7 linked regions of the Cricetulus griseus genome follow. The protein of the gene in region 1 interacts with the protein of each later gene in a pairwise test. Links are inferred from orthologs where the notes say so. Each region holds a gene or a part of one and is shown on either strand. Other genes may lie near its edges.

Region 1 (2,935 bases):
GCAAAAAATGCTAATGTTAGAAGTTGGACATTGGCTACACAGGGTCCTAGTTCCCTCCGTAAAAATATGAAGGCACTACACACTGCTGTCTTGCTACTTTACCCAATTTGGAGAGGGTGGGAGTTGAGAGAATCTCACTAAAGCCCAGGCTGGCTAGGACTCTGCCTCCCAAGAGAAGGGATTACAGGTGTATGCCACCATTAATTAGATCAAAAGCAATGGGATTTGATGGTACATAAGTACCATTAAACCAGAGAGAGAATTGTAGCTCATGACTAGATAGAACCGAACTAGAAATGGGATCCAACTCAATAACGGAGGTCCCATTTTGGGGGTCTTCCCTTCCTTGGGAACAGAGCAGGCACACAGCAGTATGTGTCCCCTAGCTAGATCTGGCAGCCTTGTTGGTGCTGATGCAAGAACTTCTGGTAGCCGATGACCTGTTGGCACGAGGATCTTCTAACATGAAGCTCAGGGTGGTTTCGGAGCTCGAGAAGATGGCAGCGGCATCGATGAAGCCCTGGAGCTGGGCGCAGTCTTCTAGGGTGCTCTTTCAGAATCTGCTCCCGTGAAACATGCAACTTAGCTTCTACGGGCCAGGTACTCACAAACTCAGCCAGAGATTAAATACTTTTGCTCCAAAATTGTAGCACCATGAAAACAAACTCTGTAGTCTACTTGAGATCATTTTCCCTCTGATTGAAATTTTTATTGAAATCTCTCAAATATCATCAAGAAATAGTTTTTTGTTTTTTTGATTTTTTTTGTTTTTTGCAAAAGGGGGGTGGGGGTTGCTAACAATTTCAACATGGGAGCTCCCTCTGCTGGTCTGCAGTAGGCTGATATGTGACAAACACATTCCCAGAGACAAATCTAATTTGCTGGAGAAGAGGACAAAAGACAGGTGTGTTGGGCTTTGCCTCTGGAGAGAAACACTAGAAGAAAAAAAAAAAAATCCATGTCTCAAAACAAAGCACAACATTGCAAAAAATAAAAAATAAAAAAAAGCAAAATCAGAAGAATCTCCAAGACACTCAGTTTCCAAAACAAAACCCCAGGCACCTAGGAAGGGGCCCCCACTCTGCTCCCCTCTAGTCAGTATTCTCGGAAGCCATCTTGGCCTCCAAGGCTCTCCTGACAGATTTCCCATTTACTTAGAAAAGAAAGTTCCAAGAAATCGCTGGAGCAAGGCCTCTCCAAAATTCCATCAAGAGTAAAAGAATTAGGTGAGCTGGCGCCTTGCTGTTTTAGCAAGGGAAGCAGGTGACAGACCTGCTCTAGAACTCTAGAACCACTGTGACTTGGGACAACTCTCCATCTCCTCAGGCCCTGTTCCCTGTCTGTGTAACGGGCTGGATCAGTTGTCTGCAAAGCTACCAGTTCACTCCAACATGGACAAATACATTTATTAAGAATGTTCATTTAAATGACTCTACAGAAGTGAGACTCGACATGGATCTCACCACCAGCAGATCGGAGTTCCACCAAAGGTAGGGCTGATGGCTGAGTTAGGAGGACTGCAGGCTGGGGAAGTCTCAAGAGAAGGGGGTCGTGTGGGTGATGTATGCCAACGAGGCACACGCCGTGATGCATCTAATCTTGCACTGGGTCTCCATCCCTCCTCACAGGGGCGTAGGCTTTCTAAATCTCCCAAGACCCTTGTTAGAGAGCCTTTACCCTCCATATCCTGCAAATAATTCCAGATGTCATGTCACATCATGACCAAAGCCAGTCTTCCCAGGTCTTTCTGGGCATTAGCAAGCCTTGATTCTCCAGGCAGCAGTGAATGGCTCTGTTGCCCGATGTGCAACCTTGCACTGTTTCATGGTGTGTACTGCTAATAACCCCAACAGTTGGTTGCTCTGTTCCTGAACCCTAAGCAAGAAGGGCATACCTGCACACGAAGTGTGGGGCACACAAAATGGGGACTTTATGGACCTTTGTTGTCAACAAAGTTATCCACAGCACAAAACCACTAACGACTCAGCTAAAGACAGCCACCACCTAGCTGCTCCTGCCTGCTACCTGGCAGTCACCAGGGTTACTGAACACTGACCCATGTAGAGACACCGGGCAGAGGGTGGAAAAGCAAAAGGCACACCTGATCCTTGACTTCAGTTTGTTTCTTGAACCAAGGCAAGTCACTGCCACCTCTGCACTTTTCCTAACTCCCCACACTGCTTTGTACCCCCTCCCTGAAGAGGACAGACAATATCTGTTCCCGGGCACAAGACAATGGGGTTCCCTTTGAACTCTGTCTGCCTGAAGCAGATGATGCCCCAGGGAGAACAAACAGCTAAGGAAACCAGTTGCCAATGCAGGCAAAAAGCACTGGAGTCTCAGATAAAGAAAGGTTGGCCTGCAGTACTCTTGACACAGTGGATTGGGAACACTCTCTGGGGCTGCTCCCAGGCCTCTTAATCAGGACATGAAGGGGTATCATCCAGCCTTGGAAACAAAGACCATGCAAAATAAACACCCCCCCACACCTGACCAGTCTGACAATTTACAAAGATTTATAGTATTTGTTTAGTTTGGGTGTCTGCACGAGTACTGGTGTGGAGGGCAGGGGACAACTGGCAGAAGGCAGCTCTCTCTTCTACCTGTGGGTCCTGGGGATTGAACTCAAGCTGTCAGGCTTGGCGGCAAGTGCCTTTGCCCAATGGGCCATCCTACCAGTCCACAGCCAGCAATTTTTAAGAGGCCAGGTTGAGTGGCATATGTAGTAAGACAGATAGAACCTATATTTTACTTGTCAATGGCCAGCAATAATTGTCATGGGCTGACTACATGAGTGGTTATGCCAAGGGTGAAGCTCGGGTCTCATTATTATCCTCAGCTCTCAAAAGAACCATGGCTTCCAGGGAGAGGAAGAGCTGGTATGCCTCTCCCTGTATTTGGAGGGGAAGCAAGGAGTTTGTTTCTAAAACCCAGG
Region 2 (4,295 bases), on another chromosome or scaffold:
AAAGAAGGTTAGATAGACATACTAGGGTTAGAGTGTCAGAGTGTTATACCCCATCCTGACCACTTTTAGAAATGACTTGAACATCTTTGGGCTTCAGCTTTCTCCTTTGTAATATAGAAATAATGTTGAAATGGCTGAGGAGATTAATATAAATTACATATGGAAAGATAGCATGTATGGCCAGTAACTACCTTGGGAAAGATAGTGAGTGTAGAGACTGTCTACCCTGGGGTAGACAGTGAGTGTAGGAAGTGTCTGGCCTGGGATAGATATTAAGTAGAAAGTCGAGCCTGGGATAAACAGTGAGTATAGAAAGTGTCTAATGTGGGACAGACATTGAATGTAGAAAGTCTAGCCCAGGGTGGACAATGAGTGTAAAAAGTGTCTAACCTAAGAAAAGACAGAAAAAGCAGAAAGTGTCTAGCTCAGTGTCTGTCAGCCAGTGATGTTCAGGAAGTGTTCTCACCTCTCTGGTCTTGTTTTCAACAAGAAATTTTTCTCTGTATGCCAATGGCCTAAATAAAACCCTTAACACAATGGCAGGAAAAAGAAAGAAAAGTCTCTCAGGATGCTCTATTCTCTAAAACTGAAGAGACAGCTGAGGGGTGATAACTTACATGTGTCAGCCCAGATGGTGTTCACCAGTTCCTATGGTGACTATTGGAGCCACAGGGCTCAGGGCTATTGAATCCACTAGTGTTCATCACCCATGTGTTTCCAATGTGGGTCAGCGGAGGAAGCTGAACTATAGGAATCTAGAGATTAGATTGAAATCTTTGTTACCTGATAAATGATGCCTTCATTGGCTCAGGAGCACTTTCTATGCTTGTTCCAGTGACTATTATCTGCTTCTGGACACATGACCTTCCCAACTATGCCCATGGGCTGGCTACTACTTTGCCCAATCAAACAGTGGACCATGCAAATTAACTTCTTTTTTGCTTGTTTTTCAAAACAGGGTTTCTCTGTGTAACCTTGGCTGTCCTGGCACTCTGTAGATCATGCTGTCCTGGAACTCAAAGAAATCCACCTGCCTCTGCCTCCCAAGTGTGGGATTAAAGGTGTGAGCCACCACTGCCAGCTCAAATTAACTTCTTTTTTTTTCAGATTTTTAAAATTTGAATAAGAAACAAGATTGTTTTACATGACAATCCCAGTTCCATTCTCCCTCCTGTCCTCCCCTACCACCCCCCAACTAAAACCCTACCTATCACATATCCTTTCTTCTATTCTTCCCCTGACTCAACCTTTCTGCTCCCTCATGACCTCTGCATCCTTCCTCTTCTTCCCTTCTCATTCTCATAGCTCCCTCCCCCCTCTTCCCATGTTCTCAATTTACTCAGGGGATCTTGACTCAAATTAACTTCTTAAGATGACAACGTTTTATGACTTCGATTTAAAGCCCTCCCTCTTTGGAGTTCCATGGCCTCATTTTATGCATCTCAGCATGAGAATGGGAAAATTGTGTCTGATTTTTGTTCATTTGGTGACAGGAAGTTCTTTGCTGGTGGAGTTTGTACAACGAATGTGCAGATTCCTGGGAAGGTAGTGGTTATCACAGGTGCCAACACAGGCATTGGCAAGGAGACAGCCAGAGAGCTTGCTCGAAGAGGTGAGTGTTTTCCCTGTCTCCTCAGAGCCACACCTCCTGCCCTCTTCAATGGGGTCCTGCCTGGATTTCCTTGTCTTTCTTCCTGGGCTTGGAGGTTCTGATGGGATTAGAGGAAACTGGAACCCAAGTCCAATGTGACACTAATTTACTCTGTCTTTCAGCATAGCTCCCTCCTTCCTGTGCCTTCCCTACTTCGGGGAGTAAAGAGAATGTTGTCTCTGTGTAATATTAGTCAAGTCCTTTATTCTAAGGTAGATACTAAGCAAAATTAAATATTAAGAGTGTAAAATGAGGCTTCTCAACTGCGCTGTGAGAACCCGGAAGTGGCAGTATGGCCACTCCCACTACCATAGGGACAGCTATGAGTGTGCTCTACCCATCAGCTGCAAGCTCACTTCCTGTACCTCTGCACACATTGCCCTTTCTACTTTGGCTCAAGGAGCACGAGTATACATTGCCTGTCGAGATGTACTGAAGGGAGAGTCTGCTGCTAGTGAAATCCGAGCAGATACCAAGAACTCCCAGGTGCTGGTGCGGAAACTGGACCTATCTGACACCAAATCCATTCGAGCCTTTGCTGAGGGCTTCCTGGCAGGTAAGGTTCCAGTGAGTAGCCAGGAAGGCAGGGAACTAAATGTAGGGATGGCTGCCCCTCCCAGGACCATATATGGCCCTTTCATCATACCCATGATCCCACTGGACAGGTTCAGCCACATGAACCAGCAGGACAGGGAATTGGCAAAGGGATGGCAGGGGGACAAGCTGGGCAGGATCTTTATCAACGTTTTGCTCCACAGTGGGAATCTTGGAGGTTTCATCTCCATGTCTGAGCTTGTACCATGGCACAAGGTGTGGCCCTGATGCTGCTCTTTTCTTTCATCCAGAAAATCAACCTTCTGTGGTTACAGGCACTCGATGAATTTGTGCTATTGTCAAAATGTTCCAGTGTCTTGGGAAAGTACCAGCATCTACCAAGGACTACAGGTCCTTGAGGGACAAGATCTAGGTGTGCCTTGTTTTCCCAGGGCCCATCAATGTGTGTCTGGTCCAGAGTTGGTGGTTGGTACACATTGGTCATATAAATGAACAAATGGTGTCCGGGAAGGTTATCAGCAAGGAAAATCAGAAACCCAATGACAGTGGTGATTCTATAACATGCAGATGGGTCCAAATGGGGAATAGTTATTGACTTCTGAGGCAACATCTTATCTTAGAAGACAGGAGAAAGATAAGTGATAACCGTGCCTAGCAAAGAGTGTTCATAGGTGAAAGTCAGGGACAAACACTTGAGACAGTGACAGGTGGCTAGAAGATGCATTGTTAGTCACAGGATCTCCCTGATTGTACTCAACAGAGGAAAAGAAGCTCCATATTTTGATCAACAATGCAGGAGTGATGATGAGTCCATATTCTAAGACAGCAGATGGCTTTGAAACCCACTTGGGAGTCAACCACCTGGGTAAGTGTCTTTGTGTGGCTAAAAAGTGTGTTATAACCCACCGTGTTCTCTGTAGGAAGATGGCCCTGCAAAATGCTCAGGATCTCCACTGATCCTCATAGAGTCTTGTAGGGTCCTCATGGGGTCCTCATGGGATTCCTCTACAAAAGACACATTGCTTGTTTGCCCTTTTCTAAGCAGTCAAAAATTGTGACTCTGTGTTTCTATTCAGAAGTCCCCATCTCAGAAGATACTAGGGGGAAAAGTATCATCCTTAAATGGTCTAGTGGCAATGCAGGGCTTGCTGGGCAGGGCCAACCAGTGAGTATTTAGGGATCTGGATTTGACAGGGGCAGTGACATCCAATGAGAACCAAAGGAAACCTTGTGCTGGTATGTGGGGGTGAGTGAACCTTGATAAGTTGATATACAAGATAGATTGGTGTTCAGAGTTCAAGATGAAGGTTCTAGTCAGGGGAGCATGTGGCATATCCCTAGGTCCTAGGCAAGTGTCCTTTTCCCTGACTACTATAGCCTTCTTTCTGTGTGAGTAGATGAGGACCCATAGTTATACAGAGAAATTAGAGGCTAGCAGGTGGGTATATAGACAGTAGATTAAATATCATTACTACCATCTAGCTTTGATCCCTGCTTTGGAGAATCAACTAACTTAGAGCAAGTGACCATTTAGCTTGGAGTGACTCATGGTATCAAACTTTATTCACACTCAGGGGACAGTGAGCTAATATGGAAGTCCTGTCATGGGTTTCCATACCCCGAGCCTAGAACCATTCTATCCTTGAGTTTTACTTTTGGATTTCTTTGTAGGCCATTTTCTTCTTACATACCTGCTTTTGGGGAGGCTGAAGGAGTCTGCACCTGCACGGGTGGTAAACCTATCCTCAGTGGCCCACCTTGGTGGCAAGATCCGTTTCCATGACCTCCAAGGGGAGAAACGCTACTGCCGTGGTTTTGCCTATTGCCACAGCAAGCTGGCCAATGTGCTCTTCACTCGAGAGCTGGCCAAGCGGCTCCAAGGTACGTGTGGAGAAATAATAAAGTATTTTATTATTTAAATTATAATATCAGGATCCTTGGGCCAGCTTATAGGTTCATAGAAACTTCTGGAACCAGGCTGTTGAATGTACACATTTTAGTGGTATTCTGTATGGTCCAGAGAATGATCTATGATAGCTGTGCTTTTTTTTTTTTTAAAGTGAGTTTATTAAATATCTACAAAATAATA
Region 3 (3,504 bases), on another chromosome or scaffold:
TCTTTAGGAAATCACCTCAGTCACCTTTGCTCCCTTGTGAGACAACTGATCTCCCTGAGCAGGTAGCTTTTTAAAAACTGTCTTTTAGTTCCTGTAACAGGGATCTTGTTAACCCACATGCCCATGAAGTTAAACAGCCAGATAAGTATGAAATGCAAGTGCACACGGAAGGAAGAGATCCCTAATCCTTAAGTGTTTAAAGTACTAGGCGTGTCGGAGGCAGGATGAAGCCTGGGCCCTCAACAATGGGATTCATAAATGTTGACTAAAGAGCTTTGGTAGACCTCCCTCCAATTAGTGGAGGCAACTTTACAGGAAATGGGAAGGCAGAGAATCCTAGCCCAACGAATCATAGATTTGTAGACTCTGTGTGTAGCTAAGCTTAGGGTAAGGGCCTGGACTGCAATGCAGGTTTCTATGAAAGTGGGTCCAGAGTGCACAGTGTACAGGGAGGCTAGAGGAGCAAGCCTGAAGCCCAGGAACTTACAATATGGCAGACACTGGAGCATAGGTAATAACATCGGGAATCAATAGTTCAGCTGGTGACTGTCACTGGATGGGAAGTTGAGTCAGGAAGACCTTATAGAGTTTGAAAGGTCAAGTTATCCACAAAGAAAAAAATGAATTTGTTATCTCCAGTAAAAACAAAAGTTTTATTCAAAGAAGTCAAGTACTACTTGGTGGAACAGTGCATGTCATCATAAATTGCATAGTAGTATAAATCCTGATGGCTTCTTTTATCCAAATTCTAAGTGATTCTGGAAGGTTATGGGAAGGATGTGGAATATAACAGAGTGAACTGCTCTGTCACATAGTGGTCAAACATTTGTATTTTATCCTGACAAAAAATAAGGCATATGCAATTAACTTTTTTCTCCTTAAAATTTTAGTGGAAGAACGAAGTTTTGTTGAGAAGCACAGATGGCCATCAAACATGTACCTGAAGCAGCTGGCGGAGTATAGGAAGTATATCCACTCTCGGAAATGCCGCTGTTTAGTCATGTGACCTGCGCTTTTGTATACATACACTTTTTTATTATTATGAAGAATGGGTACCTCTGGGTTCCAGTAAAATTCTTATAACTAAATCGGTATGGTATTTTAAAAAGTCACCATACAGCTTCTTATTGCCTATCTTTGAAGGACTGTGGCAGTCTTAAAAGGAAGCACAGTCTACAGACTTCAGTGCTTCCCCTAGAATGTAAGACTGTTGGACAGTGGCTTCTCCTCTAGGTTGCCCCATTGCTCTAATAACACTAAGACCTCTGGTAGTTAAGAGATGTTTAATTTTTTGAAAAAAAATCATCTAGGCTACATACAAAAATTTCATTATGTCTGACTGATTGCTCTGCTAAAATAAGGGCCATTCAAAAGCCAGGTGTAACTGGAATTCGGGGGAGTGCTAACCAGTGGGGCATGAAGTTGTGGGAATAGAAATTTGCCATGTAACAGTTATATACCAGTTGGTTCCAGTCCAGTAAAAGTGTTTGAATCAATCAATCAATATAATGAGGAACAACTGCTGCATCTGGACTATCTAACCGCATCTGCTCGTTAATCAGCCACAAACCTAATCAGGGATAGTAGTTACTTCCATGGAACCTTCTGGATTCTGCAGGCTCCCACACTTAGAAAGGTCTGGCACTTGGTTTAGTGCTCTGCTAGTACAGCTGTTAAATTCTTACAAATGTTTGGAGAAGGGCCTCATATTTTTACTTTGCACTGGCTTCCCAAAATTATATATATTTCCTATCAGGGAAGATGCAGTTTCTTTCCTTCCTTCCTTCCTTCCTTCCTTCCTTCCTTCCTTCGTTCCTTCTTTCTTTTCCAGACAGGGTTTCGCTGTACAACAGCCCTGGCTGTCCTTGAACTCACGTTGTAGACTAGGCCAGCCTTGAACCTACAGAAATCTGCCTGCCATTGCCTCTGGAGTGCTGCCACCCTGCCTGGCTGAAAATGCTTTTTTCTTATTCAAACTTCACTCCTAAGAGTGAGAAACAGAAGAGTTGCAGATGCCAGGAGAGCAGAGTGGAGATTCCCTCCTTTGGGGAGGCTTGTACCTAGCCTCCACAGTGACCTCTCCTGACAGTAAGAAATGCTTTTTCTTGGCTTTGGGACACTAGCTCACTTCTGGCTCTATCCCGGAAGAGCAAAAACTTGATCAATATGTGAAGCCAGGAAGTTGATAGGAGTGACTGAGTAGCCTGACTATAATACACAGTTACAAAGACAATCACAGGGAAAGATGCTTTGTAGAGACTTGGCTACAAAAGCTTAAGAGTTCTTTCATTTAACTTTATCTGTTAAGATTAGGATGTCGGTGGCTTGAATTGACTTCTTTCCAAGGACTGAAAGGATATCTGGTGTGAAATATCAAAGCCACCTAGGAAGGTAAAAGAAAGGATGTAAATCAAAGACCTGCTAGATGTAGAGACAGTTGGCTGGGAAAGCTGAGTTAGTTATTTCATATCACATGTTGGCAGAAATGATTCTGCAGGATGCACAAAAGCTTAGGCAAGGAAAAAGCCTATCACTGTTTAGTGTTAGCATCGTGGGCATCTGGAATTTAGTACTGGGATATACTTTTCTAATTTCCAGTGATTTTAATATGCATATTTTCTCCAACTTTTCAAAAGTTTGATTCAACAGTCTTTCCTGTAGTGTTAGGATTACATGCAAAAAGCCCTTTTGTGTGTACCAGTACTGTCAAAATAATGGGAAAGAATTCTTTTAGCTAGAATCCCAAGAAAGCTCATATTAATTGTGCTGTGTCAGTGAAGATTATTGGAATGAATTTTGGTTTTGTATTTTAATCACTTGAATTATTCAACTATTGGCACATCCCATTTGGTGGCTTAGCATTGTAAAGAACAGAATATAGCAATACCTAGAAGTTCCTTTGCAATTTTAGATCACATGGTAGCCTTTTGATACTCAGAAGCATATGCTCACCCTCTGTGCTAATCACAGCATTTAAAATTCCAAACTTTTAGGAAATTGAAAAATAGGAGTTGAAAAACAAAACATTTTCCTGGAAATAGTATTTTAACATTTAAATAGATCATAACTGGTTCCTCTAGGGTGTTTCTCCTGAGTAGGAGCTGAGTTTGGAAATGGGTGGTCTAGAGTGTTTATTGTGGAAGTTCTTCACTACCTGTGAGAGTGACTGGGGCAGCTGTGTGTCAGAATATAAATGCGTACTTAAGCACATTTGAATACAGACCCCTCAGCACTGTTGAATCTACTCATCTGGAAGTGGTGAAAATTTTCAAATACTTAAAATGATCATGGCTAAATTAGTGTTGGTTTTGAGGGTTGTTTTCTAATCAAAGGATTATTTCTAGATGACTTTATGCTTTGTTGCAAAATTTCTGCTTCAATATATTTACCAAGTATCTTAGTTAGAGAGCATACTGTGTAGTAGAACTAAGGCCCCTTCTTTCAGGGCCAGGTTTGCATCCTATTGTGCATTCTTTGTATGCTGCTGGCTACTTCCTCCCAGTC
Region 4 (4,297 bases), on another chromosome or scaffold:
CTGAGGCGAATTGTCAGGTAGATTAGATAGGCTCAGAGTTCCCATTGGGGCTCAGTAAAGTGATCACAGCTCACCCAACTGGGGAATCATCTCCAGCACTCTGGTGAAGTCTGTCCACGTGAAGAAAGTCTGTTCCCTAGCTCTCGGCATACACACGACCAGCCTCAAAATGCACATGTTATGAGCAAGCAAGTTTTTTCTTACCCCATCCATGTGGATCCTAACACTGGGCACCAGCCGGAAAGGGCTGGCCTGTAGACTTCTGGGGCTGGTCTTGCTTTTCCTGCTGTCCTGCAAGGTCAGTATGCGAGGCCTGCGAAAGGAGCCCCGTTTCCAGGAGTTCTGCCCGGAGCGCACACCATCCAGCAGACGCACCAGCAACAGGTTGGCTGGCAGAGCCTCGATGCTGCAGAATACCAGGGTCCTGCATTCCGGGCACCGCAGCTCCTTGTGGGCCTTGAAAATCCTCTGTAGACATGGTTTGCAGAAGGTGTGCTGGCAGGGGAGGACTTTGGCTGTGACATCGAGCTTTTCAAAGCACACGGGGCACTCCAAGAGATCAAGTAACGTCAAATCATCCATTTTATTTTAAAACTCCAGTCCCGACCTGGAGAAGCAGGATTCACATTGTAGCGGCAGCCGAGTCGAGGGGGTAGAGCCAGTCTTTCGGGAGCATCAGAATTCCCTGCCTGTTTGAAGGAAGGAGGAAAAAAAATGTAACTGCCCTGAGAGGTGTGTCCCACCTACATGGAGGCTGTGTCTTGAGAGGCAGCTGCAAGCACTTTGTTCCGGGAGCTTCAAGTGACTCATTCTGATTCAGTCTTGCAGGTTAGAAGACTTGTGCCTGCTGCAAGAATCTGAGGGAACTCTGCACAGTGACTGAGTGCTCATTGCCTCTGAGCGGAGGACCCCAGCAAGGAGAGAAAACTAGCCTGCTCAGGCTGGGAGCTGCTTCTCTGCTGGAAGGACTGGAGGAGTGCTTTCTCCTGCCTGGTTCACAGTCAGTCTTAACTCAGACTAAGGCCCTGACAACACAATTTCTGTGAGGTTATCTACCTACCTTCCCTTCCTCTCCACTAGATTGGCTTGTCTTCTATCTGTAGCAGAGTAGATGAGCTTAGGGAAGTGTTTATCGACTCCATGCAGATGTAGACTTCTTTCCCTCCAGTAGATCTCCCTCCACTATTTTGTTCTAGCAATATACAAGAAAAATTCCTATTCCCCGATATTGTTTTGACTTTACCCTGTCACGTCCCTCTTCCTTCTTCCATCTCCTCCCCTCTTCCTTCCATGCCTTCATCTGCCCCAGGTTAGTGTAGTGCCAGAGATAGTCTTCCTCCTACCAGGTGAGGTCCTGTGGCCTGTTTAGTTGCTTTGACAATTGTGCTGGCTGGCTTTCAGCTGCAGCAGAAAGGAATTCAGGCTTGTGGTCACAGCCTACAGAAAAAAGCCCAGAGGAAGCAGCATGCACGGGCAGGGAGGGAGGTGTGTGTGTGTGTGTGTGTGTGTGTGTGTGTGTGTGTGTGTGTGTTGTGTCTGTGTGTCTGTGTGTGTGTGTGTGTGTGTGTGTGTGTGTGTGTGTGTGTGTCTGTGTGTCTGTGTGTCTGTGTGTCTGTGTGTCTGTGTGTCTGTGTGTCTGTGTGTCTGTGTGTGTGGTCCGAAAACAATCCTGGTTTTAGAAACAGTTTCATTTCAGATGCCTGAGAACCAAGTTTCCGGTTTTGAAAGGTCTCTTGGGTACAAGTCAGCCACGCCCAGGCTCCTGTGACTGCCGACACCGGACACCGCGGGTGGGCTTGGCAGGCGAGCTGGTGGCCCCCAGCAGTTAGCGTGACAGATGTGAGGTGTCCTGAACAGAGATGGCACCTTGGGGCGGCCGGGTGGGGTGGTGGGGTCTGTCTCCAAAGTTGTCGGCGCACTGGAGAGGTGCATGGGACCACTAACCTTGTGCCTATAATTTCAGGTGCAATCTTTTCGCCCCTTTCTGGTCTCATCTGGGGCTGCTCCTTCTAACTGGCTAGCCGCCTTTCCTCCCCAGGGCTGGGCGTCCGAGCAAGCTTTGAAAACTTCCACAAAGTCCTTCCAGTTTCAAGGGATCACCTTACCCAACCCTGTTAACACTGTCGCTGCCAGCAGCTGCCTGCCAGCCCACACACCGCGGCTGACCCATGCTTGATGTCACCGCAGCTAGAACCGAGCAGTGAACAGTTTGTGGGCCCATGTTCCCCATTTTCTCTCCCATTCAAGCAGCTTAAAGTTGCTTGGCTAGAAACGTGCCAAGTGCTAGTGCTTATTTTTAAACCTTTATGAGGATTTGCCGAGAAGGTCAAACATATTAATGATAGCTGTGGTTCAAAGATAAGGCATCCTCTTATAAAATACTGGTCTTAAAAGTGATAATCACTCCTTGAATGTTGAGATGAGAGAGGCTTCAGTAATCTTTGGCTCAGTTTCTTCCAATTAAAAAAGGAGTGGGGTGTGTGTGCACATACTTTGAAAATCAGACCACAGGAAGATCTTTTAAAAAGGCAATAGTAATGATCCCAGATCTGCTCTGTCTGTTACTTCCTGTAGTCATCCCACACCCCTTAAATGATGCTAAAGTTCCATTTTTGACTTATCAGTAATGTACTCATGTGCAGTCGCAAAACAGTCCAGTTGAGCAAGTAGGTGATGACGCTACGTAACATCAAGGTGGCCCCCTGTGTGTGTCAGATACTATTCTAAACACTTTCCTTGCATTTGCCTATTTAACCCTTTCCCCAACTTGAAGGCACTACAGTTTACCTTAACCAGCCAGATGAGGATGCTGAGATGGACAGGAAAGCTAGTCATCCAACGGGGGGCAGGTGGTCTGTGCTCTTAATTACTGTGCCATGGAGTGAGCAGGCTTTAAGAGAAGAGAGGGTTTGAGGACACCCAACCTCATCAGGGATGGAGAATATGGCAAGAAGTCAGGAGATAATGACTCAGATTGACCAATCAGCATGCCTTGCAGATGAGGCAGCTATGCCCAGAGAGATCAAGAGATTCTCTCAAGTTGCCTGGTGAGTGAGGGTAAAGCTGCAACTGGAAACTGGGTCTTCTTCTTCCTTTCCTCCTCCTCCCTTTCTCCTCCTCATCTTCTTCCCTTTTCTTCTCCTCTTCCTCCTTCTTTTTCTCCATCTCCTCCTCCTCCTCCTTCTTTCCCCTCTCCTCCTCCACCACCACCTCCTCCTCCTCCTGGTATCTTCTGATTGGATGGGTGGGCCACACTTGTAATCCCAGTACTGGGAGAGCAGAGGCAGGAGAATCATGATTTTGAGGCCATCCTGGCCTATATTATGAGAATCAGTCCCCCATCCCCCAATACAAGTCAATTTCCCTTTCTTTTTTATTTCTTTATTTTTCCCCTATCCTCTCTCTATCTATTGACTCTTCTTATGTTTAAGCATGGGGACAACAATTCTTTGAAGGGGCATAGGGGATTGAACCTTGGGATTCATACTTGCTAGCAAGGACTTTACCAGCGATCCAAATGCCCTGCCTGATGGTAATTCTTTATCACAGGAAATCACTTAGACATGGCTCCTTGGGAAATCTTAGGAAGGAATCAAGAAGCCTTCGGTCATTTGTCTTTCTTGTGTTCTTCCATGTCAGTTTAAAAAAATTTAACATGCATGAAACTCAGAATGAAGGAGATGTTTGGAAGCAGCAAGTGTAGTCTTCTCTTCTGGTCTCAGGCCTTAATTCCCACACATGTCCACTTCAGAGAACTCTTTTCAAATCTGCACTTCGAGCTTCAACAGCATTCCGTCCCATTCCACTTTGCCGTGTCTATCTATGAGGGCAGTTTGAAGCTCTCTGCAGATCCTTCACTCTCATTTCCTCTCAGGAGAGCTCAGCTCCTCTGTGAACTGCCCTGTAGTCTCCTTGCCTTCTAGAGAGTGGACTCCAACAGTAGCTCTTCTGTAGCAGGGTTTTGCAGTGTCCTCTTCTTCCCTCTATGATTCTTCTTTCTTCTTCTTTTTTTTTTTTTTTTTTTTTGGTTTTCGAGACAGGGTTTCTCTGTGGCTTTGGAGGCTGTCCTGGAATTAGTTCTTGTAGACCCAGGCTGGTCTCGAACTCACAGAGATCCACCTGCCTCTGCCTCCTGAGTGCTGGGATTAAAGGCGTGCACCACTAATGCCTGGCTTCCCTCTATGATTCTTAAAAACATTCCATCTTCCTGACATACCCTCATCTGTACCTACCTGCACAAATACACTTGCACAAGAACTACATATGTAAACATGGAATATCTAAAACAATGATAGAA
Region 5 (4,397 bases), on another chromosome or scaffold:
GTGACCTAGAGTGCTGGGACCCAAGGTTTAGATGTAGAAACAAACAGACGAAGTGAAATCCCTTTATTTTTCACTCAAGTGCAGACAGCAGACTGCTCCCCAGTGACATCCCCCAGCAGCAGTAAGGAAGACACTGTCCATCCCAGGGTCATGCTGACTTGACCCAGCCTCTTCTATACACTCTCCCCTTCCTCCCCAGGTGCCTGCCAGAGGGCCAGGCCATCAAGAGGGCCAGCAATGCCCCTGAGGCTTGTCCCTGGGGCTGCGTATCTCTAGGCCAGTGGGTACATTCTCCAGGACATCAGCCAATGAGAACAAGCAAAAAGAGATGTCTTCGTAGGAGGCCCTGATCCCGCTCTCAAACAAACAGGCAAAGGCCAGGGACGCCCCAGGCACAGCCCCAAGGAACGCTAGGTCGGAGTAGCCACTGGGGCCCTCATAGATCACCCAGGGATCTGTCCAGCTATGGGGGTCCAAGGGGGACCGGCTCAGGTAGATTCCCATGTGGAGCCGAGCTCTACGCTCTGACGGGTGGGAATACAGCAGCCATGTGGGACTCTGAAGCAGGGAAGCAGAGGACACAGGGAGTTCTGGGCTCCAGACTGTCTTATCTCCACCTGGCCCAGGTTCTGAGCCATGATTCCCTAGACCCCAGGTCTGTGGGGTGCAGAATGGCCCTCTGGGAACCCAACCTTCAACAGGACCCCCAGCACCTTCCCCTGAAGCCTCCTGTACTCTGAGATAGAAGCATGGGGAATGTGGGGTATTCCCAGGACCCACGGGCCACCGGTCATCCTGAGGCCTGCTGGAGGGTGGGGCTGGGAAGCCCACAATGCTACCCTGGCAGCCACGGGCAGTTTCTGCCAGTGTAGGCACCAGCTCCCCTGGCAGGAAGGAGGTGCCCTCATCAGCACTCAGTGCCTGCACCCGGTTGCCCAGAGGGCTCCGGGCATTGCAGTAGAGAAAGTCTCCACCCACGGCAGCCAGTTGGCACTCTCCAGAGCGCAGGTTGGGCACAAGGCCTCCACAGTGCCAGGAGATTCCATGGTCATCACTGTAAAAGGCCAAGGAGTGGGGACTGGTCCAGCAGATCCTGCCGAAACACTCTCGGCGGTCCACGTGGTAGGTGTAGGCAGGGACAAGCAGGCGACCTGAGCGCAGCTGAACTCCATGGCCTGGACCCACAGCAAAGGTGGCCCAGTCTACAGAAAGAAGGAGCCAGAACCTTGGGTTGGGTCATCTGACTGCATAATCCTGGGAGCCTGCTCGGTCAAATGCCTTCTTAAAGTTTTTAAAAGACTTATTTTTAATGATGTGCATTGGGGTTGGGGGGAGGCTGGAGAGGTGGCTCAGAGAGTAACAGCCCTGGCAGCTCTTCCAGAGGTCCTAAGTTCAATTCCCAGAAACCATATGGTGGCTCACAACCATCTGTAATGAGATCTGGTGCCCTCTTCTGGCCTGCAGGCATACATGTATACATAATAAATACATCTTTAGTTATGTGCATTTGGAGGGTGTGCACATAAGTGCAGGTGCCCATAGAGGCTAGAGGTGGCAGATGCCCTGGAGCTGGAGTTACAGGCAATTGTGAGCCACCCAATTCAGGTGCAGGGAACCGAACTCCAGTTCTCTGCAAGAGCTGTAAGCCATACAAGCTCTTCACTCTGAGTCATCTCTCCAGCCACTTGGGAGACTTTTGCTTTTTGTTTGGGGGTGCAAAGCACAGAAACCGGGCCAAACAAGTGGTCTACCACAGAGCGGTTCCCCAGCTGTTAGCCAACAGAGGCTTAATGATCACCAGCAGAGCTCAACTTCTGGAGCAAGTGCTATTACACAAGGGTGGTAAAGGGAGGAGACCGTGGGTGAGGTTTTTGGATGTGCCCACTGTCCTTGTCCACCTCCCAGAAGCTGCCACACCCCTCTAAGTAGCAGTCATGGGCCTGGTCCTGTAGCCCCTAGGGCCACGCCTATCAGCAGGAGTCGGGTAGTGAAACAGAGTCAGCAACTGCAGGTGGGGACTGCAGAGGTGGAAAAAATGACGGGGGCCAGAGACCAGGGCTGGATGAGGAGGAGGCGAAAAGCAAAAGGAAGTGGTAAAAGAGAATAAGAGCCCCAACCCTCTCCTCTACAGACCAAGACAAAGGGAGCCCCTGGTGGGCTTTAGCTGCCGCCCTGCCAACACTGAAGGCGCTTGGGGAATGCCAGACAGTCCTGGAGACAGTGTTAGGAAGTCATTGCTCTTGGGGGTTGTGGGGCAAGAAACTGAGGATAGGAGAGGCAGAATGAAGATTTCCAAGTGACTGGTGGGCCTATGCAAGGGTCAAGCCCAAGCCCATCTTGCCCTGTCCTGTTCCTACCCACTCAATTCCTCCGCCCCACACCACCAGCCCATCCCACACCAGGTGTCACCTACCCCGCAATGCTGCACCAATGACCTCCTCAGTGAGGTCTCGCACACTGCCCCAGGTGAGGCCCGCATCACAGCTGGTCACACAACAGAGCCGAGCAGCGTTCTTGCCAGTGGCGATCTGCACGGCCTCGGGCGTGTGGCCCAGCACCGCAATGAAGAAGAGGAAGATGGTACCCGAGTGTTCGTCCAGCACCGGGCAAGGGTTCATAGACCTGTGCCCCTCCAGCACCGCAGTCTCCAGCACACTCAGGGTGCCCCACTAAGAAAAAGAGGCAGCTGGTCAAGACATCTGGAGCCTGACCTTAGTCTCCAGAGGGATCAGTAGAGCTGGGCTTCCGTTTCCCCTCAGCGCTTTGCACTCACCCGCACTGAGCCCTTGGCCAGTGTCCCCCTCCTCAGCACCAGGCGGTGAGCATGGGAATCATCAGGGCTGAGTCGCTGTTCTGCAAAGGCCAGCAGGGTAGGCCTGGGAGGCACACTGAGCAGCGCAGGCACGCGGTAGGTCAGGCCCGTCCTCTCCCGCTGGAAGAGAACGGTCCTTCTGGGAACACGCGAGGGCCCCATGCCCTTCAGGTAGGAGCAGGACACCTGGAATCTGTTGGGGAGGAGGCACCACAGGTTTACATGGCCACAAGCCAGCCCCACAGACACCTGCCCTCTTGATGGCACTTTCCAATCTCCCTCTCCCCAGACTTCTCACAACCCATCTGCAGACCCCTCACAGCCACTGCACCCCAAATATCTATAGAGCAGGCCCCTTTGTTCTCTCCAAGCTGCTCCTTTGCCAGGCTAACTGGTGCTGGGGAGCTGGGCAGAGAGACCCCACATCCTTCCAGCTGGTGTGTCCTGGACACATATCACCACAAAACTCGCCTACCAGGAGTATGGGCAAGTGGACAAAGTCAGACAAAAAGGGGGAGGGGGGCTCAGTGTTCACAAATATGGTATGTGAGACCAGGGAAGGCACACCACACGGCAGAGGCAGATGAAACTGGAAGGTACCCACATGGAAGCAGAAGGGAACTCCAGAAATCTCCACAGAAAATAGCTCAGACATAGGGCATGCGCCCACGGGATCCCTGGGCTGGCTGGTGGTTTGGAGAACAGCAGAGCCCTCTCCTGCAGCATCCATACCAAGCTCTCATAGGCACCAGAGAGAGCCAGGGGCAGGGCAGATCAAAAGGCAGCAAAAAGAAAGCCAAGGACACCAGAGAGGTCCTTGTTTGGCCCTAAATTGATTCCTCCCTGTCAGAGCAGGGTCATTGCCAGGCTGATGGAGCAGAGGAGCGGGTGGCAGCATTCCAGGCCAGGAGGACATGCTGAATGAGGAAGGACAAAGGCCTCTCTCCGCATGGCCCTCGCTGTGCTGTCTGCCCCTGCGGCCACTCCCTAACCTCACCCACAAGCCAAGGTCAGGAGGCTTACGGTGTGATCTGCCTGTGAGCAGCTTAGCCCCTCTTGTCCGTACCCCCACCCTCTGCATCCTCATCTGTGGGACTCTAGACTGAGCTTGGAAACACTTCCACATGGAACTGAAGCCACAGGAGGGTGACCAAGCAGCCCCAGGGCATATTTCTTCCCCACTTAGCCTCTCAAAGAAGGACTAGTGGGAGATAAGTTGGGGACATGACCTGGGCCTGCCAGGTACCACTGTCTGATTTGCACAATGGCAGACGAGAAGATGAGTGTATATAGCTGGTGTGGGGTTGTTGGGAAGGCAGGGCAAGGGGTGCATTACCAGCAGGACACGAACAGTCAGAGCTCACAACCGTCTAGGCCAGACCACCACCAGCCAAACAACTCATGACCAGGCACCCCAGGCCAAACCAGAGCCACACACACAGCCCACACCAGCCACTCCTGACCAGCCTACCACAAGCCATACAGAAGTAATAGCAGCCAGGCGTTCATTGGTGGTGCACGCCTTTAGTCCCAGCACTCAAGAGGCTGAGGCAGACAGATCTCTGAGTTCGAGGCCAGCCTGGTT
Region 6 (4,357 bases), about 100 Mb from region 1:
TACTAGTTTTCAGATGATGATTTGAAAAGATAACTGGAAAACAAGAAATCTAATAAAGAATTCAATCCACTCAAGGAAACATTTTACTTAGGTTGTCCAAACTTGATTACACATGAGATATTTGCAATTCAGTGATCTCTTAGAGGTGGGGCTAAAGTCAGTTTAGCAAATGACCTTTCTAATCCTCTGAGGCTGACAACAAGAGAGGCAAATGGGGTCTCATATTCTTTCCTTTTCCCTCCTGTGGGGGGGGCAATCTTGGTCTTGATTCTGAGACTCTTATAAAGCTTTTCCATAACTCAAGTTTATACAAGTATAGAAAGAATAATAGCTACAGTAAGACATGGAAGATTCCCTTCACAAATACAATATATAGTAGTAACATATTAAAAGACTGAAGTGTTATTATCTAAGAACTATTAAAATTACACAAGCAGACAGGCATTGTGACTCTCTTAGAAAAAGACTAATTGATTTCTTAAGATATCTCAAAGACATTAAAATTGCCATATCTATATGTCTTATTAAAGCAGTGAAATTGATCATATCTCTTATTACTGGAAAAGTAAATTTAGATGTTGACAAATGCTGTTTCCCAGAAGATCTATCCCATGTCTGATATATTAATTAAGGGTCACAAAATGTTAGAAATGACCCAATTTAAAGTCCTGCTTTTACAGATAACAAAGGTAAGGCCTAGAAAGAGGAAATTATATGCTCAAGGTTACACAGGCAAGTTCAAACTCAGTCTGGTCACACTGAACTATTTTCTGCTCACAGAGCCATGCCTCAGTCTTTAACATAGAGCACTGAAGTCTTTACTTCTAGATTTTAGACTTTCTACGTTTATCCTGTCTATCACTTCAATCAAAATGTCTATAGGTGTTCTCAAAGCTTACCCTTCTTTGAAATGTTTCTCTCTCTAGCAAATTCTTTTGAGCAAGTCTTGCCTCACAGACTCTGATGATTATCTGAAATGAAGATTTCTGCTGATAACAGCCCACCTTTGTGACATTCCCACTTGTTCCTTGTCTTGTGGTTTGTATGTATCGTAATTTTCTCATCCTTAAGAGCCCATGCTGTTCATTAGCAAGACCTAGCTCTAGTTTCATAACCTCGATGTTTGGCAGAGCACATATTCTCAGTAGGCTTTTATCAAATGAACAGATGATTACATTGTAATGATAGCTTCGTAAATAACCAAAAATTATCTTGAAACTAATTTTGCTTCAAGTTTGCTGTTTCTCCACTTTTGAGAAAATAGGTTCCCAGCACTGGCTAAATCTACCTATAAATTCAGAAGGTCCCCCCCCCTTAGGAAAACATTGCATACAATCACTTCTAGCTTGTCAGCAAAAGAGTCTTATTTTTTTTAATTTATTTTTAGGTGCAATGATGAGGAATTTTATCATAGTTGTGAATATTCTGGCATTAACTCTGCCCCTTTGGGTAAGTTAACTTCAATTCAATTTTCTATGTAAGATGTTAAATAAATTTTATTTAAGAGTTCCAATTGTATGAATATCAAAATAGAAGCACTTCAAGGAGTGTAACAGTTGGTTAATAGTTTTTCTATGTTTACTTATATCATAAAAATAAATATTCTTCTAGATATCCATTTGGTTGCCATAACACATACTGCATTGTTCATAGAAAATCTTCCAAATTCCTATACTATAGAGATCTGTTTTTAAATTAGAAAATGCTGTAAATATAATTCATAAGCCATAATGTAGGAATCCTAGTCCAGTATCAGAAATCCTTTTGATGAAATTCTGTCCCTCCCATCCTCCAGCCTCCTTATGGACTAGATGCTTAAATACTTTAAATACTTAACTTATTTCTCATGATTTCTCATTCTGTAACTCTGCTGCTGAGGTGCAAAACCCAGATCCCACAGTAAGTTGATATTATCTCTATTAGAGACCTGAACTCATTTTTTTCTTTTCTTTTTTATTTAAATTAGAAACAAGCTTGTTTTACATGTCAATCATAGTTCCCTCTTCCTCTGCTCCTCCCCTGCCCCCCACTTACCCCCATCTCATCCCCTTTCTGCGCCCCATGGAGGGTGAGGCCTTCCATGGGGGATCTTTAAAGTCTGTCATATCATTTGGAGCAGGGCCTAGACTCCCTGTGTCTAGGCTGAGAGAGTATCCCTCTATGTAGAGTGGGCTCCCAAAGTCCATTCATGTACTAGGGATAAATACTGATCCACTACTAGAGGCCCCCTAGATTAACCAGACCTCCAAACTGACATCCATGTTCAAGAGGTCTACTCTTAAAACTAAATAAATACTTTAATGTTTCAATAAGTTTAAAAGACCTTCAGGCTTTCTAGGACTCCCATTACTAACTTTTGTGTCACTCTTTCTTATTTTGTGGCCTGGCCAAGCCCTTACCAGGTATCCATATCCATAATTATTTCTATGGCTGGTAGACATGGAATGATATTTTATGTTTAAAGGTGAATCATGTAAAAGGGTCTGTTTCTTTTATCTTTTTAGCTAATCTTCACTGCAGTTTATGCTTTCTTTTCACACTCATTCTGCAGTTTCAAGAAATGCATCTGCCAGCAGCCAAAGTGGGGGGGGGCAACCTAGAGAATACTGTGTGCCCTCTTGTTAAGATTATAAAATTTTTAGAGTACAAAGCATTTGATTAAATTATTAAATGTAAACATTTGTCTAGTAAACAATACTTTTGAGTCAATTCTTGGGGTCAAAATTACCTTTAAAATTTTACCATGAGTTTAGCATTTAGTTACTTTCATTGATTTGTTGAAATTTTGTTCTTGGTTTTTTGGCAGTCAATTGCATGTTAAGAACTTGGATTTTCTCTTTGAGTAAAAGGATGTAAGTTTAAGTCATAAGATGAATCCCTTCCTGTTCTACAGCAATTCTAGAATTATTGGGAGTTTATAACAAACTCTCCTTTCTTATTTCTTTATTAAGGATTTTTAATTAGTAAATGTTAGTTGTTCATAATAATGTGCTTCATCATGACAGTGACATACATATGCAAAATGTATTTCGGTCACACTTGCCCTCATTTACCCTCTTGTCACTCCTACTGTTTTGCTTCCTCTTCTCAAAAAGTCCCTCTTCTACTTCCTATCGTTTTTCTAAACTTTACTTTTCTTATTCTTAAATTTTTATGTGTGTAAACAAAACATAATTAAGAGAGGTATGTGTAAAAGATCATTTACATGAATGTGGTCAACTTACATGAGTGTGGGCAACTTACCAGTGGCTATGCCTCTGAAGACATGCCTCTTCTAAAGAGGTTTCAATTGTATAATAGTTCACACTCTGGACTTTGAAAATGCTACTTCCTCTCACAGCAACAATTAACTACCAACAGGTTCTCGGGGATAGGGGAGTGTTGTGAGTCACCTCCATGCTCCATGATGGGATTTGGACAGGCGGCATCTTGTGCAGGTCTTGTGTAGACAATCATAGCTGCTGAGACTTCCAGAGTATGAAAGCCACATCCTATCTGGAAGACAGATTTGCAAAGGTTTCAAGTCACAAGAGCATAATGAAATAATTCAAAAGAAAAGAGGTTTATAGATTTTACCATTCAATTTATGAGCTGCCAAAAGCAGATGAAAATTGCAATGTGATTCTTTCTTTTATGTGCTAATTAAATACTTACATCAATGTAAAAATGAGTATAATATTCATCTTATCTTTAATACAATAGTGAAATGGAAAACAAACAAAAAATCTCTGTTTTGATTTTTCTCCCTTATTATTTCTCATTCTTTTTCCCTAACCCCTCAGATTTCAGAGGTGCAAGGTCAAGAACAACTGGCTGTAAGTCTATTTTCAATTATTTATGACTGAAATATAATTTATGTAAATAATAGTCTGCAAAAAAAATACATTCTGATTTAAAAACTAAAAAAATTATGTGCTCTCCACAGAATCAACTGGTACCTTTTGATAAGTGAAAACACCACTTAAACAAGATATATGAACCAAACTGGATGTTTGCCTGATAGCCTTAGTTTCTTTGACTGGCCCAAGTTGTGAGGGCTCAATTGCATGTTTACTTGGCTTATTCTCCATGTGGAGTACTTAAAGGAAAAGAACAAAAGTAGAACTTAATGTCTGTCTGCCTACTCTATATAGTTCAGTTGGAGAAAACATCTTGCCTGACTCTTCTTTAAATCCACCTCATTTGCTCATATTGATGTCTCCTTTTGTTCTAAAATGTGTTTGAAGGAATACATTAGCTATTTCTTTTTATGGGAAAAGTTGCTGTGCACATAACTTTGTTGTTTCATTAATATCACCACCCAAAAGTGCATCGAGATTTTGTAACTGAACATGGTTGGCAGAAATAAATAAAATCA
Region 7 (4,479 bases), on another chromosome or scaffold:
TTTCCCTCCGCAGCTGTGGCTTTGCCCCACTTCTTGTTTTTAGAGACTGGTTTTGTGTTGGAGAAGTTTTGTCTGTTTGCACACCTAGTGGAAGGATTGTCATTTTGTGTCTTTTTACATGGGAGAATCTCGTGTGTTCCCAAGTGTGTGATGTCAGGAATTAGAAAGCCCAGAAATGGAAAATATGTAACTTTCAGGGGAGCAGATGAACACAAGTTGCCATTTGCATTTTCCCTTTCGCTCTGACTCATCTTCCCCTATCTCCACCCTACTGCCCCTTCGCCAGCCTCACCCACCGACACACCCTGTCTGACCTAGGAGGGGCTGACACCTGCCTGCATCCAAGCTAGAATGGGAGGGAAGGCATCCTAGGCCCGGAGGGAGAGAGTAGAAGTCTGGTCTGAATACCCTGGAGCCCTGGAGCCAAAGGGAGAAAAGCAAATGTTACCCCATTGGGGCTAGGAGGGGCCGGAATCCAGGGAGAAACCTATGGGGACCGAGACTGAATCTTGTCACCACAGCGTCTACCAACGTCTGCCTAGTTTCTCTTTTAGCTGTTTATTGTACCTATATGAATACCAGACACATGCCACAAATATCCCAAGATATCTTCTCAGGGAATGGAAAGATCAGCTTAGGAATCGGATTAATAGAATGGAAAAAAAGGAAAAAAAAAAGAAACTGAGTCTCAAAGGGTTTGTCCCTTCCTCAAATTACAGAGTGTCAGAAATGGGTGTGGTGGCACTGGCTGAGGCAGGATAGACATTTCAAGGACATCGTGAGCCACACAGGAAGAGGAGAAGAGACGGTGGTGCTAAAAGCGTGATAAGAGGCGGAAATCTCCAGGGATCTTGACCCCTTGGGCAGAAAGTGAAAGAAGCCCCTGGTTTTGATTTCAGAGAAATGTCATTTGTCATCAGCCCAGGAAAAGGAGATTTTTCTCTTCGAAGACCACCACAGGCTTCCTGGGGTTGCCCCCCTCAGAGTCTGCTTGGAGGATCTGAGTCACACACACACACACACACACAACCCCAGCCCTTGCTGTGGTCCAGAGGACAAGGGTCAACCTCACAGAATAAGAGGGGCTCAATGTACCCAGCCAGGGAGAGAGGAAGGAGGCATGGCCCCCAGTTCCCCCGTGCTTCACATTCTGCTTCAGGCAGAAATGGTCTGCAGCTACTCCACACGTCTGTCACCTCTAAGACAGACCGAATAGCAGCTGAATGCTAGGCTGTACTGGCGGCTACTTCCCTATGCATGGCCCTTGGTCTTCACCCCTCCTCCAAAGGACACCAGTGGTATTTGACGCATGAGGAGACTGAGGCTCAGACAGATGACTTGCCCAAGGTGACTCAACTAGTAAATGGCACAAATGAGGCTCAGCCTCTGACTGTTCCAAAGTACCTGTGGCCACAGTTGATGTCTTTGGCTCTAAGGAATTGACAAATCACAGAGTTAGGTGAGGAGGCAGCCTGGGTTGTTAAAAGTAGATGGGTAGCCTCTGGCAGGTCTCAAGCAGAGACAGAAGGTATAAAGCCACACCCCTTTGGGGGGGACTGTGGCAGACTGATACTTGGGATGACTGAGGACAGGGGTGGAGCTAGCTGGGGTGGGGGGCAGGAGCCCCAAGAGCAGTATCGAGCATGCGAGCATGCGAGCATGCTGCGGTGCTAGGAGGCAGCTACAGAGGTGAGTGTTGTCTCCCGGAGCTGAGCCCCCTCCATTCCAACCATTTCTGTGCAGTCCCTGCCAGCTGGCACCCTTCACCCCAAGGTGTCCAGGTAGTAACCCTCCCTCCCTCCCTCCCACAGGGCCCCGGCTCACGGAGGGCCTGCATGCACCGGGGGTAGGCCTGCTAGGTGCTAAGACACTTGGGCTATTTCTTGATCTGTCTGTCTCCAGTATCCTGGAGGCCTGTGATGGTTTTCTTGTGTGTGATTCAACCCTCGACTTATTGGGCACTTTCTAAACCATTCGTTAGCCTCATTTTGTTCTCCAGTTTCCCTTTCCTTTTTCTCCTTCCACAGGCACCAGAGCCTTCTCTAAACCTCTGGTGTGGCTCTCTCAACTCGCTGGATGGCAATCTCTAGTCTTCCTCATTCCTTCTCTGTGTGCTAGAAGCTCCAGCCTCGGAGTGATGCCTAGCACCTGCTCTCCCTGCCTGGCTGCCTGCGTAACCTGTCCAGCTGTCTGGGCTCACATTGTGGGAAGACCCACAAGCTTTTTGAGGTCTTTCATGAAGTGGCATCTTACTCATTCATAAATGCCAAGTTTTGTGAGGAAAAGCCCAAGCTGCTCAGTGGGTCTTCCCTGCAAAAGAGCCCGGGGAAGCAGCAACCTTTAAACCCGAGTTTGCTAACTGTACGGGTCCTAGACCCCACTGCTTGCTACCTCTGCTAACTGCCTGGCTCTTGCTCCTTAGGCCCCAAACCTGACCCAATGTGGATGGATTCTCTTCCCGCTGCTTCCCCAGCTTGCCTTTGACTTGGTTTATATGACTCATTCAGGACAGACAGCTCCAGTCTGAGACTGGAGAGTCACTCCTCTTTCTCCCCTCCCCTCCACAGGCCTGAGAATATGCGGTTTCTCCCTCCCCTTTCTGCCATGGACCCCCCATTGTGGCTTTTCTGTCAGAGCCTCTGAAACTGGTAGATTAGTCGAGAGCAATGCCCCAGACCCCCACAAGGCTGATCAGCCCCTATGGCTCTGATCGGTTGGTGCAGTTAGCGGCTAGGCTTCGGCCAGCACTGTGTGATACCCTGATCACTGTAGGCGGCCTGGAGTTCCCTGCCCACAGCCTGGTGCTGGCAGGTGCAAGCCCGAGGCTGGGATGCAGGGGCAGGTGGGCTCTGGTTGAAGGCATCAGCCCTTCTACCTTTGCTCAGCTGCTAACCTTTGTGTATGGAGAGAGCGTGGAGCTACAGCCTGGGGAGCTGGGGAACCTTGAAGAGGCGGCCAGAGCCTTGGGGGTGCAGGCCCTGGAAGAGGCATGCAAGCGAGCTCAAAGGGACAAGAACGAAGATGAGCTGCATGGAGGACTGAAGAGGCACCAGGTGTCAGAAGAACTCACGAGGAGTTCTGAGAGAAGACCGGGGGGTCCTGGAGAGAAACAGAGCCCAGAGAAGGATTTTAGGAGTAACAGGAAAGAACAGGAGACGTTACACAAGCGCAGAGCACCCGGAGAGAGCCCTGAGAGGGCAGGGCTAACTAGGAAGATGAGAGCAGAGGAGGCCCTCAGCTCAGCCCCTGGGGGCCACAGGGGAGCAGAAAGGAAGCAAGGAGAGGCCATACAAGGTATAGAGAGCCCTGAGGGCTCTGAGGAGTGTCTTCGTGGGTGCCCTGGTCCCCTTTCCCTACCAGGTTCCCCCCTAACCAGCCTCATTCCCAGGCCCTGGTGGGCTGAGGCCCCTTGGTTGGGAGAGGGCCAACCTGGCCTGTGGAGCATCTTCCTGTGGCCGCCCAGATATGGCATTCCCTCCTCCCTTAGCACCCCCGTCACTGCAGCCTGGCAGGTCTGGCCTCAAGACCAGAGGTGAGTGAAGGGCTTAGTGGAAGGTATCTAGGCTGGGGGGGCTTTAGCTCAGGAGAGGCAGCAGTCATGGGTGGGAGGGAACCACGTCTCCATACGTTTGCTAAGTTAAGGAGACAACAAAATATTCTGATCTTGAGAGAGGCCAGAGCTGGTTAGGTTCTCAGGCTTCGCCAAGGCTGTAATTCTTCTCCACCCAGGATCCCACTGACCTTGAGCCACTCCAAAGGTCTCTGGAGTCAGAATCAGCTGGCCTCCTCTAGCTCCACTCCAGGTAAGCCCCTCATTGTTCCATCCAGGGCTTCTGCACAGCAGCTGGGCTCCAGGAGTCAGGCCTTAGCAGGGCCCCTACTTTACCCTACTTGCAGGATCCTTTCCCCAGGGCCCTGAACAACTCAGCCCTTGGGAGACAAAAGAGTCTGGGTAAGGGTACACAGTAAGCAGGGCGAGAGAACTGCTACCTCAGGGTCACCAAAGCTCTCAATTTCTTGCCTGGATGTATTGACTCAATTCAGGGATTCTGGTCATGCCATCTTGACTTCTCTGTCCACACAGGCACACTGGCAACCTGTGTGGGTCAAGAATGCACACTGAGCTGTCCATCTCACCAACACTCTGCTTTACCCCTTCCTGCTCGCTCCCGGCCCTATTCTTGCTCTGTCTGTGGAAAGAGGTTTTCACTCAAGCACCAGATGGAGACGCATTACCGAGTCCACACAGGTATGGGCATACTGCCCAGTGTGAATTTGTCTTTTTTGTTCCCATCGCTGGGCTGCCAGTTCCTCCCTTGCCCCATTGCTCGACACACCCCTAGCTTGGCCAACCTTCGCCCATTTCTTCCTTCTCTGGCTTTCTCCTCCACCTGTAGGAGAGAAGCCCTTCTCCTGTAGCCTCTGCCCTCAGCGCTCCCGGGATTTCTCTGCCATGACCAAGCACCTGAGGACACACGG

What was found.
Region 2: the proteins of Rbpms (region 1) and Rdh12 interact in binary tests that used the Homo sapiens proteins (3 or more experiments, as listed by UniProt). The two-hybrid records come from large-scale screens. The link is inferred for Cricetulus griseus from reciprocal best matches to the Homo sapiens genes RBPMS and RDH12.
Region 3: the proteins of Rbpms (region 1) and Rhobtb3 interact in binary tests that used the Homo sapiens proteins (3 or more experiments, as listed by UniProt). The two-hybrid records come from large-scale screens. The link is inferred for Cricetulus griseus from reciprocal best matches to the Homo sapiens genes RBPMS and RHOBTB3.
Region 4: the proteins of Rbpms (region 1) and Sh3rf2 interact in a two-hybrid assay, tested with the Homo sapiens proteins (2 studies listed by BioGRID and IntAct). The two-hybrid records come from large-scale screens. The link is inferred for Cricetulus griseus from reciprocal best matches to the Homo sapiens genes RBPMS and SH3RF2.
Region 5: the proteins of Rbpms (region 1) and Neu4 interact in a two-hybrid assay, tested with the Homo sapiens proteins (2 studies listed by BioGRID and IntAct). The two-hybrid records come from large-scale screens. The link is inferred for Cricetulus griseus from reciprocal best matches to the Homo sapiens genes RBPMS and NEU4.
Region 6: the proteins of Rbpms (region 1) and Csn3 interact in binary tests that used the Homo sapiens proteins (3 or more experiments, as listed by UniProt). The two-hybrid records come from large-scale screens. The link is inferred for Cricetulus griseus from reciprocal best matches to the Homo sapiens genes RBPMS and CSN3.
Region 7: the proteins of Rbpms (region 1) and Zbtb32 interact in a two-hybrid assay, tested with the Homo sapiens proteins (3 studies listed by BioGRID). The two-hybrid records come from large-scale screens. The link is inferred for Cricetulus griseus from reciprocal best matches to the Homo sapiens genes RBPMS and ZBTB32.

What each region holds. Positions count from the first base shown.
Region 1 is NW_023276807.1:51,013,730-51,016,664, reverse strand, and holds the end of Rbpms (RNA-binding protein with multiple splicing), read right to left. Parts: intron 936-2,935; coding exon 804-935; 3' UTR 685-803; downstream 1-684.
Region 2 is NC_048598.1:124,423,017-124,427,311, reverse strand, and holds the start of Rdh12 (retinol dehydrogenase 12), read left to right. Parts: upstream 1-1,382; 5' UTR 1,383-1,422; coding exon 1,423-1,612; intron 1,613-2,051; coding exon 2,052-2,207; intron 2,208-2,966; coding exon 2,967-3,071; intron 3,072-3,877; coding exon 3,878-4,087; intron 4,088-4,295. UniProt on the Homo sapiens protein: Retinoids dehydrogenase/reductase with a clear preference for NADP. Displays high activity towards 9-cis, 11-cis and all-trans-retinal. Shows very weak activity towards 13-cis-retinol.
Region 3 is NC_048595.1:297,015,213-297,018,716, reverse strand, and holds the end of Rhobtb3 (rho-related BTB domain-containing protein 3), read left to right. Parts: intron 1-890; coding exon 891-1,006; 3' UTR 1,007-2,991; downstream 2,992-3,504. UniProt on the Homo sapiens protein: Rab9-regulated ATPase required for endosome to Golgi transport. Involved in transport vesicle docking at the Golgi complex, possibly by participating in release M6PRBP1/TIP47 from vesicles to permit their efficient docking and fusion at the Golgi.
Region 4 is NC_048595.1:195,855,344-195,859,640, forward strand, and holds the start of Sh3rf2 (E3 ubiquitin-protein ligase SH3RF2), read right to left. Parts: upstream 2,878-4,297; 5' UTR 2,788-2,877; intron 1,509-2,787; exon of another isoform or gene 1,061-1,508; intron 690-1,060; 5' UTR 583-689; coding exon 205-582; intron 1-204. UniProt on the Homo sapiens protein: Has E3 ubiquitin-protein ligase activity. Acts as an anti-apoptotic regulator of the JNK pathway by ubiquitinating and promoting the degradation of SH3RF1, a scaffold protein that is required for pro-apoptotic JNK activation.
Region 5 is NC_048595.1:445,312,143-445,316,539, forward strand, and holds Neu4 (sialidase-4), read right to left. Parts: upstream 2,987-4,397; 5' UTR 2,975-2,986; coding exon 2,774-2,974; intron 2,670-2,773; coding exon 2,414-2,669; intron 1,203-2,413; coding exon 223-1,202; downstream 1-222. UniProt on the Homo sapiens protein: Exo-alpha-sialidase that catalyzes the hydrolytic cleavage of the terminal sialic acid (N-acetylneuraminic acid, Neu5Ac) of a glycan moiety in the catabolism of glycolipids, glycoproteins and oligosacharides.
Region 6 is NW_023276807.1:153,111,673-153,116,029, forward strand, and holds the start of Csn3 (kappa-casein), read left to right. Parts: upstream 1-1,391; 5' UTR 1,392-1,392; coding exon 1,393-1,449; intron 1,450-3,782; coding exon 3,783-3,815; intron 3,816-4,357. UniProt on the Homo sapiens protein: Kappa-casein stabilizes micelle formation, preventing casein precipitation in milk.
Region 7 is NC_048602.1:5,237,587-5,242,065, forward strand, and holds the start of Zbtb32 (zinc finger and BTB domain-containing protein 32), read left to right. Parts: upstream 1-1,470; 5' UTR 1,471-1,689; intron 1,690-2,567; 5' UTR 2,568-2,666; coding exon 2,667-3,532; intron 3,533-3,729; coding exon 3,730-3,803; intron 3,804-4,084; coding exon 4,085-4,249; intron 4,250-4,397; coding exon 4,398-4,479. UniProt on the Homo sapiens protein: DNA-binding protein that binds to the to a 5'-TGTACAGTGT-3' core sequence. May function as a transcriptional transactivator and transcriptional repressor. Probably exerts its repressor effect by preventing GATA3 from binding to DNA.